Linked DNA regions of Chlamydomonas reinhardtii. The protein of the gene in region 1 binds, or shares a complex with, the protein of each later gene. Links are inferred from orthologs where the notes say so. Each region holds a gene or a part of one and is shown on either strand. Other genes may lie near its edges.

Region 1 (3,807 bases):
AGTACAGCACAAAGCCCTGCAGGCGTGCGGGGAGGTGGAGAGGGATATGAGGGGAGGGGAATTCAGGATGGCCAGTGTGTCGGCGGCAGGGAAAGAGGGCCTTGCTCAGCCAGCCCGCCGTGCCCCCCCGTTTACGTGTGTTCCTATGCCTGCCCCCCCCCTCACCTGCGTGTCCATGCGCGTCTGGTAGTTGGTGGCGTACATGCCCATGGCCTGCTTGCCCATGGCGGACTGGTAGGTGTTGCGGGGCGACTGGTTGTGGTCGGGGAAGGGGATGATGGAGGCGCACACGCCCAGGATCATGGCCGGGTGGATCTCGCAGTGCGTGTAGGTGGTGCCGGTGGCGGCGCCCGCCTCGCGCGCGTTGCGCAGGTCGGCGATGGTCATGGCAATCATGGTCGTCTCCTCCTCCTCCGCGTCAATGTACCTGTGCGGGGGGCGGGTGCGTGAGGGCGCGGGGTTGGGTCCTGCCTCGCATCCACACCCCTCCTGTATCAAACGCCCCTCTGCTGTACGGCCGTACATCACAACCCCCGTTTTATTGCTGGCGGCCCATGCTGGGCTTGCACTCCCCTCCGCTAGTTTGGCTTGGTTTGGTTCCGTTTGGGCTTGCACGCCCACACGCACACGCGCCCCACTCACTCGACCAGGCCGTCCTGCACCAGCTGCGGCCAGGCGTACTCGTCCTCGTCCGGCAGCGGGCTGATGAGGCGGCGGATGTGGTGCTTGCTCACCAGCAGCCGGTTGTCCTCGCAGATGTAGAGCGGGCGGCTGGCGCGGCCGTAGTCGGTGAAGATGCGCAGCTCCTTGAGCGGGCCGTCGTAGATGATGGCCACCTAACCAAAGAGGAGGACGCGGGAGAAGGGAGTGGTGGATGTGCATGGATGAGCACGTGTGCGGTCGCGGCTCCAAGCGCGGGCGGTATTAACAGCACACCGTGCATGCAACACCCTTACAGGTGGCTACTGTACTCCTGCTTCTGACGCGGCTCTGGGTCCTAGTTCGCAAGAAGACTATGGAAACCCCTCAACACCCGCGCAGCCATACACACACACACGTTTTTTTTGACACACACACGCGGCCGGCCGCACCTCGGTGCTGAAGGCCACCTGTCGGCGCATGGCCCTCAGGTTCTTGATGAGCGCGGTGGGGTCGCGCTGGATGCCCAGCCACACGCCGTTGATGAACACCTTGGTGCTGGCGGCGATGTCGGCGGGCGTCACCTCGTCCAGCGCCTCCGTGTTGAACTCCTCCAGGTGCGCCACCACCGGCAGAGAGGGAGTGCCCACTGCAGGGCGATGAGGAGGGAGGCAGGGGGAGCCGTGGGTGAAGGCCAGCAGGGGCAACTGGAGCCCGCAGCCCTGCCGTCGGCCGCCAAGCGCGAAACGTCGCCGTCGGCACATGCCCCGGCCCTTCGACCGGCCCTCAGGTGCCTGCCCAATCCGGCTACTTGGACCCTTCCCCTTCCCCTTCCCCTTCCCCTTCCCCTTCCCCTTCCCCTTCCCCTTCCCCTTCCCCTTCCCCTTCCCCTTCCCCTTCCCCTTCCCCTTCCCCTTCCCCTTCCCTCCCCCTCCTGGCCCACCCACCTGTGATGTAGCACATGAGCGCCATGTTCTTGACCAGCCCCACCGCCTGCCCCTCCGGCGTCTCGGCGGGGCAGAAGATGCCCCACAGGCTGTTGTGCAGCTGCCGCGGCTTGGCCAGCTTGCCCTCGCGCCCGATGGGCGAGTTGACGCGCCGCAGGTGGCTGAGCGTGGAGGCGTAGGTGAGGCGCGCCAGCACCTGGCTCACACCTGCAGGAGGGGAGGGAGGGGCAGCCGTCCACGGAGAACCGGGAGGGGGTTAACATTAAACCAATCCTGTAAGGAAACAGTCGCGCTGCAAGGAGGGAGGGGGGTTACATTCATGATTAATTAAGAAGTGAAGTCGTAGGCAGGTACAGTTGCAGAGTAGAGGGGGAGGGTAAGATAAGTGGCTCGAGCGCGAGCAGCAGGAGGCTTGTCGGGTGGTCTAGACGCGGCGCCAGGGGGGGGGGGTGCGAGCGGGCGGGCGGGCAGATGCATCGACTGCCCTGTCACCTGTCAGTACCCCTGTTGCCGTGCCCGCCGCTCACCCGCTCGGATGCCCTGCTTGCCCTGCTCGCCCCAGTTGCCGGTCGCCAGCGAGTACTTGAGGCCGCGCGTGATGACCTTGTCGTTGATGGCGCTGATCACGTTGATCTCCTTGCCCGCGTCCACCTGGGGGTGCGGGTGCGGGCGCGGGTGTGGGTGTAGGCGCCGGGGGGCGTTCACTGCACCGGCACCCACCTCCCCTTTTCGCCCCCGATGATACAGCGCCAGTCCTGTGTGCAACCCCTTTCCTGTCCGTGCCCCCCCTCCGAAGGACTGGTGCAATCCCCCCCCTCCACTCCCCTCCCCCTCCCCCCCTCCCCCCGCCCACCATGCGCTGCGCCTGCATGCGCAGCTCCTTGCACAGCTTGCGGAACAGCAGCCGGAACAGCCCCGCCATGAGCGGCCCGCCCAGGTCCAGCCGCTTGTTGGCGTAGTGGTCGCGGTCGTCCTCGGGGCGCCGGCCCAGAGCCACAAGCATCAGCCTGCGGGCAGGGGGGAGGGGGCGGGGGCGGGGGCCAGCGGCCGAGGCAGGAGCGGGGTTATGGAGGGGATGGAGGGGGGCTGGAGGGGTCGAAGCGGGACATCAAGCACGGCAGGCGACGTGGCGGACAGCGAGGAAGCAGTGGGCGGATGAAAAGACCGAGAGCTGCCGGTGTGACGCGGTCCTGAGCCACCAGCCCACCGCCACCAGCCCACCGCGGCTGCATGGACCGCCAGACAAGGGCGCCACTGCCCGTGCCGCACCCGGCTGTGCTCCGCGACAGCGACAGCCGCCCCGCCGACAGCACCATACCCCACCAGGGCCCCACGCACCGGCCCCACAGCCGCCGCCCCCCTCCGCCCGCCCCCTCCCTCACCTGTGCACCATGTATCCCACGAAGTAGCCCTTGCGCGTCTCCATGAACTCCTCCGTGCCCAGGTGCGGCAGCAGCTCCTTGATCAGCAGGTTGCGCGCGTACTGGATGCGGTCGGCCTGCAGGGGTGTGGGTTCGGGTGGGGTTGGGGTGGGGGTTGCAAGGATGTTTGGAAAAGCGGTACAGGATGGGGGGGGGCGTGTGCGCGCATTTTAAGGCATTCAAGGGTTTCAGGTTTAGGTTGCGTGGGTGGGTTTTTGCACCCTAGGTAAGCCCGTGCACAGTTCCCCTCCCCCACCCCCAGCACCCTCCCTGCCGAGCCGCGCACCTTGCTGGCTCCCGTGACTGTTCCTCTCTTGCCCAGGTAGTTGAGCGCCTCCTCCTGCGTCTGCACCTCCTGCGCCTCCTCCACGCTGCTCCTCAGCGCCTCCAGCATGGCGGGGTCGGCGTCCAGGTCGTACACAATGTGCTCCAGGATGTCGCGGTCAGACTGGAGGGAGGGGGGCGGAGGGGAGGAGAGGGGAGTGGGAGGTAGGCGGGCGGTGGGGGGGTGGGGGGCGAGTGTGCACCCCGTGCCGCTGCTGTATCTCCTGCTGCATCCCCTGCTGCATCTCCTACTGCTTCCCCTGCAGTCGGGTCTTGTTGGGTTACTACCCCTCCCTCCCTCCCTCGCCGCGCCTCGCCCCGTCGACCCCACGCACCACGAAGCCCAGCGCCCGGAAGAGGATGAAGATGGGGAACTCGGCCCGGATGTAGGGGATCTGCGCGCGGATGACGCCTGCCGCGCCCGCCTTCTTGCCCTTGGCCAGCATCATGATGCTCATGCTGCTGGCGGAGCGGGT
Region 2 (3,888 bases), on another chromosome or scaffold:
TAGCCTTGTACTGCCCTACTTCGCTACTTCCACGACTTCTACTCATACTCGCAGCCTTGCCATCCCCCACATGTCCGTCACGCCCTGCTGCTGGACGCTTCTGATGTACAACGACTCGCTTATGCAGCTGCAGTTATCCTTGCCGCGCGACTGTTTCCTTACGGGATTGGTTCAACGTTAACCCGCGGCCTCCCCCGCACCTGGTCGGGGCATGTGAGCACGCGCAGGTAGGCGTCCGCGGCGGCCCCAAGGTGGCCCGCGTCCTCCAGCCTGTAGGCCTTGGCCATGAGCGCCTCACACTGCACAGGGGCGGGAGAGGAGAGGGAGGAGAGGGATAAGCAAGGTAAGCCGGAGGGGGAGCGTGGCGTGTTTTGGGGTGTTGGGGAGGCTGAGGGGTGACCGTGGCGCTCTCTCGCTGGCAGCTGCCGCGACCCGCTACGTGTGTGTCAGCCCCTTCGGCACTGCACAGGCACGAGCCCTTCCCACCTGCGGGCTTGGCTTCTTCAGCAGGTCACGCAGCAGCTTCTCTGCCTTTGCCCGGTCCTCGTGCAGCCTCCGCACGTAGTGGACCTTCTCCACATTCCGCTTGTATGCCGCAATTTCATGAGCGAATAACTCATCCACCGCGTCCTTCTTACGCGTTGGTAAAGCCGAACGCGACCTTCCGGCCATTTCACAAGTGGGTTCAACCAAATGTCGGGTTGGGTGACATCTTCACTAGAAACTAGCGTCAATATTTGTTATGAATTCGACCTGAAATAATAATATGAGTCCAGGCTTCAGTGTAATTAATGAATGGAGGCAAGCCAGCTCCTACTAGCAATACTCAGTGCTAGCGTGTCAGGGCAGAGTCATCCACTGCTGGCTAGTCTTCACTGTAGTAATTAATAGCTGGTGAACTCGGGAAAGGACAGCGAAGCGAACTATTGGCCACTTGCTGCATGAGACTTCGGCCCATGCCGTCTCGTCTGAAGTTGTCCCCTCAAATTAACTTTGTTACGCATGATGATTTTGTTAGAATCTACTATAGCACCTGCTCCAGTCCCCACCAGGCTCAGTGCCCCATCCCTTCGCAGAATTTCTTGCAGCCACCTCATACTCATACTTACCACAAGTAGTAACGCTGTAACTTCAAGAGGAGTCACGCATAGCGTGCTAGGGTAGTCGGCGATAGGTTAGTCCGCCCGAGGATGTTCTACTTCCTGACGCTCAGCAAGTCACTGGACATCCATCCTAAGCACTTTGGATCTAAGCTGCGGGAGGTCATTCGTGAGAAGCTTATTGCGGAGGTATGCCGCTAGTCCAGCGAGCACTTGGCGGGAAGACCTTTTGGGGGAAGGTCGGCACGGGGGTCAGGGAGCTCGGAGCCCGGCTGGGCCTACGTGCCCCTACACCGGCGCAATACAAAATCTCCAAAGCTCGTGCGTGCCGAACCACCTTGCTACGCTAGCACAAGGCTGGCCGGGGCGTGCACAGCCGCAGCTGGCCCCGCTTGCGGCGGCGCGCACGCAGGGCGTCCGAGCCTGCCGCCACACTACTCGCCCTGCTCCTCTACCCGCAATGAGTGCAATCGCTGGTGCAAGTCGTGCTTACGGACAAAACCACGCATACACGCAAACGTACAGACGGAAGGTACCTGCACTGGCAAGTACGGCTATGTGGTGGCGGTAACCAAGGTGGACGACATTGGCCGGGTGAGAGCTGCGTGTGCGTGTGTGTTTTGGCGGCGCGGGCAAAGGGCACAGGGGAAAGGGGAACAGGGAGAGTAAGAGTTGGATGGGCCCAGGAGCCTCCTGAATGAGTTGGGTCAGGTCGGGCGCTGCCGTCATGCGCCAGCGGCTGCGGCCTTGGCGTGGCCCCACATCTCCTCGCTCTAATGCGTTGGGTTCGGTTCAGTTTGGGCGGGTATCTACAACCTACCAGCCTGGCCGCTGCGAAGGAAAGGGGTGCGGGAGGGGGCGTGGGAGCTGTCTGCGGTAGGCGGCCAGGGGCACCACTGGGCAGCGGGCTCCTGACGCCGCCAGGATTCGGACGCCAGCAGAGGCGGCGGCTGAGGACTGGCGCAGGCAACAGTGGGCAGCTGAGGGGGGGCTGAGGGGGAGGCTCCGAGGCCCCGTCCACATCCCTGCCCACTACTACTGCTCCTGGCTACGCCTTCACTTCTTAAATAATCATGAATGTAACCCGCCCTCGACACAGACACAAACACACACACACACACACACACACACACACACACACACACACACACACACACACACACACACACACGCACACACACACACACACATACGTGTGCATCCGCGCTGACACGCACATACACACACGCCCCGACGCGCCCCGGTATCGGGCACGTGGGCACCCCTGCTCACGCGCGCCGCGCAGGGCCGCATCCGCCAGGACCAGTCGGGCTACGCCACCTTTGAGGTGTCGTACGGCTGCATCGTGTGCCGCCCCTACAAGGGCGAGGTGCTGGACGCGGTGGTCACCTCCGTCAACAAGGTGTGCGGGGCGTGTGTGTGGATGGGGGGATGCATAGTTTGGTACAGAGAAGTGTAGCGAAGTAGGGGAGTTGTATATACCAGCCCAAACTAAGCCAAACCAAGCCTAACTGGCGGAGCGCAGGCAGAGGCGTTAGTTGCAAGCGGTAATACTTATGGGGGGAGGGGCGCAGGGGAAGGGGGGCGGGAATGCTGTGGAGGTGGCGCGGGCAGTGCAGGGCATGGAGGAAGGGCGGGAGGCGTGGGGTGCGGTTGGCTGTGCGGCTGCCCGTCACTAAAATGTGGACAGCTGCTGGTGACGTGATGCATCAGCAGCGCCGCTAGCTACAAACCCCTGTTCCACCCCCATTCGTTTCGGCGATGCACTTAGCGTACTACTCCCCGCTGGCCCAGCCGCCCGGCTGACCCGTTGCCAACATCGCAACAAAGGCGGAGACCTTTTTAAAGTGTAACACGCCGCCACGCCATGCCATGCCACGCTATGCAGATGGGCTTCTTCGCCCAGGCAGGGCCGCTACAACTGTTCGTCACACAGCATGTGAGTAATGCCGTGAAATGCTGTGTGCCAGTGCCGTGTGTGACAGCTGTGCAGCGGGGAAAGGAGGGCGGCACAGGAGGGCGGCGAGGGGCCCGGGGAGGGGAGGGCAGGGAGGTGGTTGGGTAACCCAATGGCTGCCCACACACACCCGCTGTGACTCCTGCACGCGCCCCATGTGGCGCCCTACTCCCGCTGCGCTGCTGCCCCTGCGCTGAATAACGCTGCTGTTGGTCTCGCCACGACGCCGCACCACGCAGTTAATTCCGGACGAGTTCGAGTTTGACACGAGTGACGATAATAGCTGGATATCAATGGACCAGACCACTCGCATCCAGGGCGGCACGCACGTGCGTATACGCATCGTGGGCATCAAGTACGACCCCTCAGAAGTGGTGAGTGCGTGCGTGTGTGCGTGTGAGAGGAAATGTAGGGAAGGCGGTTGTGCTTGCCGCGCGCTGTCCTCCTTCTGCCGCTGGTGCTTGTCGCGACACGCCTGCCAGCCCATGCCGCTCGTCATCCTGGACGGCTAGTGCCTCGCCCCGCCCCGCCCCTTCCATGTGCCTGCCCTTGCCGACCCTGTGTGTCTCTGTCTCTGTGTGTGTGCCCCCGTGTGTGCGCTGCTGCAGTTTTGTATTGCAACCATGAAGGAGGACTACCTTGGAGTTATAGGCAGCGAGGCGGCGTGAGAGGCGGCCTGGCAACGTGAGAGGCGGCGTGACGGCGGTAGAGGCGGCCTGGCGGCAGGAGAGGCGGCCTTGGCAGCGGGAGAGGCGGCCTTGGCAGCGGGAGAGGCGGCCTTGGCAGCGGGAGAGGCGGCCTTGCCGGCGGGAGAGGCGGCCTTGGCAGCGG

What was found.
Region 2: CHLRE_02g075150v5 (region 1) and CHLRE_16g667750v5 share a complex: the UniProt entries of both Arabidopsis thaliana proteins name them as parts of the RNA polymerase II complex. The link is inferred for Chlamydomonas reinhardtii from reciprocal best matches to the Arabidopsis thaliana genes NRPB2 and NRPB7.

Annotation. Positions count from the first base shown.
Region 1 is NC_057005.1:294,301-298,107, forward strand, and holds part of CHLRE_02g075150v5 (uncharacterized protein), read right to left. Parts: coding exon 3,667-3,807; intron 3,456-3,666; coding exon 3,294-3,455; intron 3,085-3,293; coding exon 2,969-3,084; intron 2,594-2,968; coding exon 2,440-2,593; intron 2,238-2,439; coding exon 2,114-2,237; intron 1,794-2,113; coding exon 1,587-1,793; intron 1,289-1,586; coding exon 1,092-1,288; intron 837-1,091; coding exon 643-836; intron 428-642; coding exon 166-427; intron 17-165; coding exon 1-16. UniProt on the Arabidopsis thaliana protein: DNA-dependent RNA polymerase catalyzes the transcription of DNA into RNA using the four ribonucleoside triphosphates as substrates. Second largest component of RNA polymerase II which synthesizes mRNA precursors and many functional non-coding RNAs.
Region 2 is NC_057019.1:4,314,925-4,318,812, forward strand, and holds the start of CHLRE_16g667750v5 (uncharacterized protein), read left to right. Parts: upstream 1-1,024; 5' UTR 1,025-1,190; coding exon 1,191-1,289; intron 1,290-1,625; coding exon 1,626-1,694; intron 1,695-2,385; coding exon 2,386-2,502; intron 2,503-2,988; coding exon 2,989-3,039; intron 3,040-3,296; coding exon 3,297-3,431; intron 3,432-3,665; coding exon 3,666-3,725; 3' UTR 3,726-3,888. Other genes in the region: CHLRE_16g667800v5 (uncharacterized protein), read right to left, coding at 201-299, 487-672. UniProt on the Arabidopsis thaliana protein: DNA-dependent RNA polymerase catalyzes the transcription of DNA into RNA using the four ribonucleoside triphosphates as substrates. Component of RNA polymerase II which synthesizes mRNA precursors and many functional non-coding RNAs.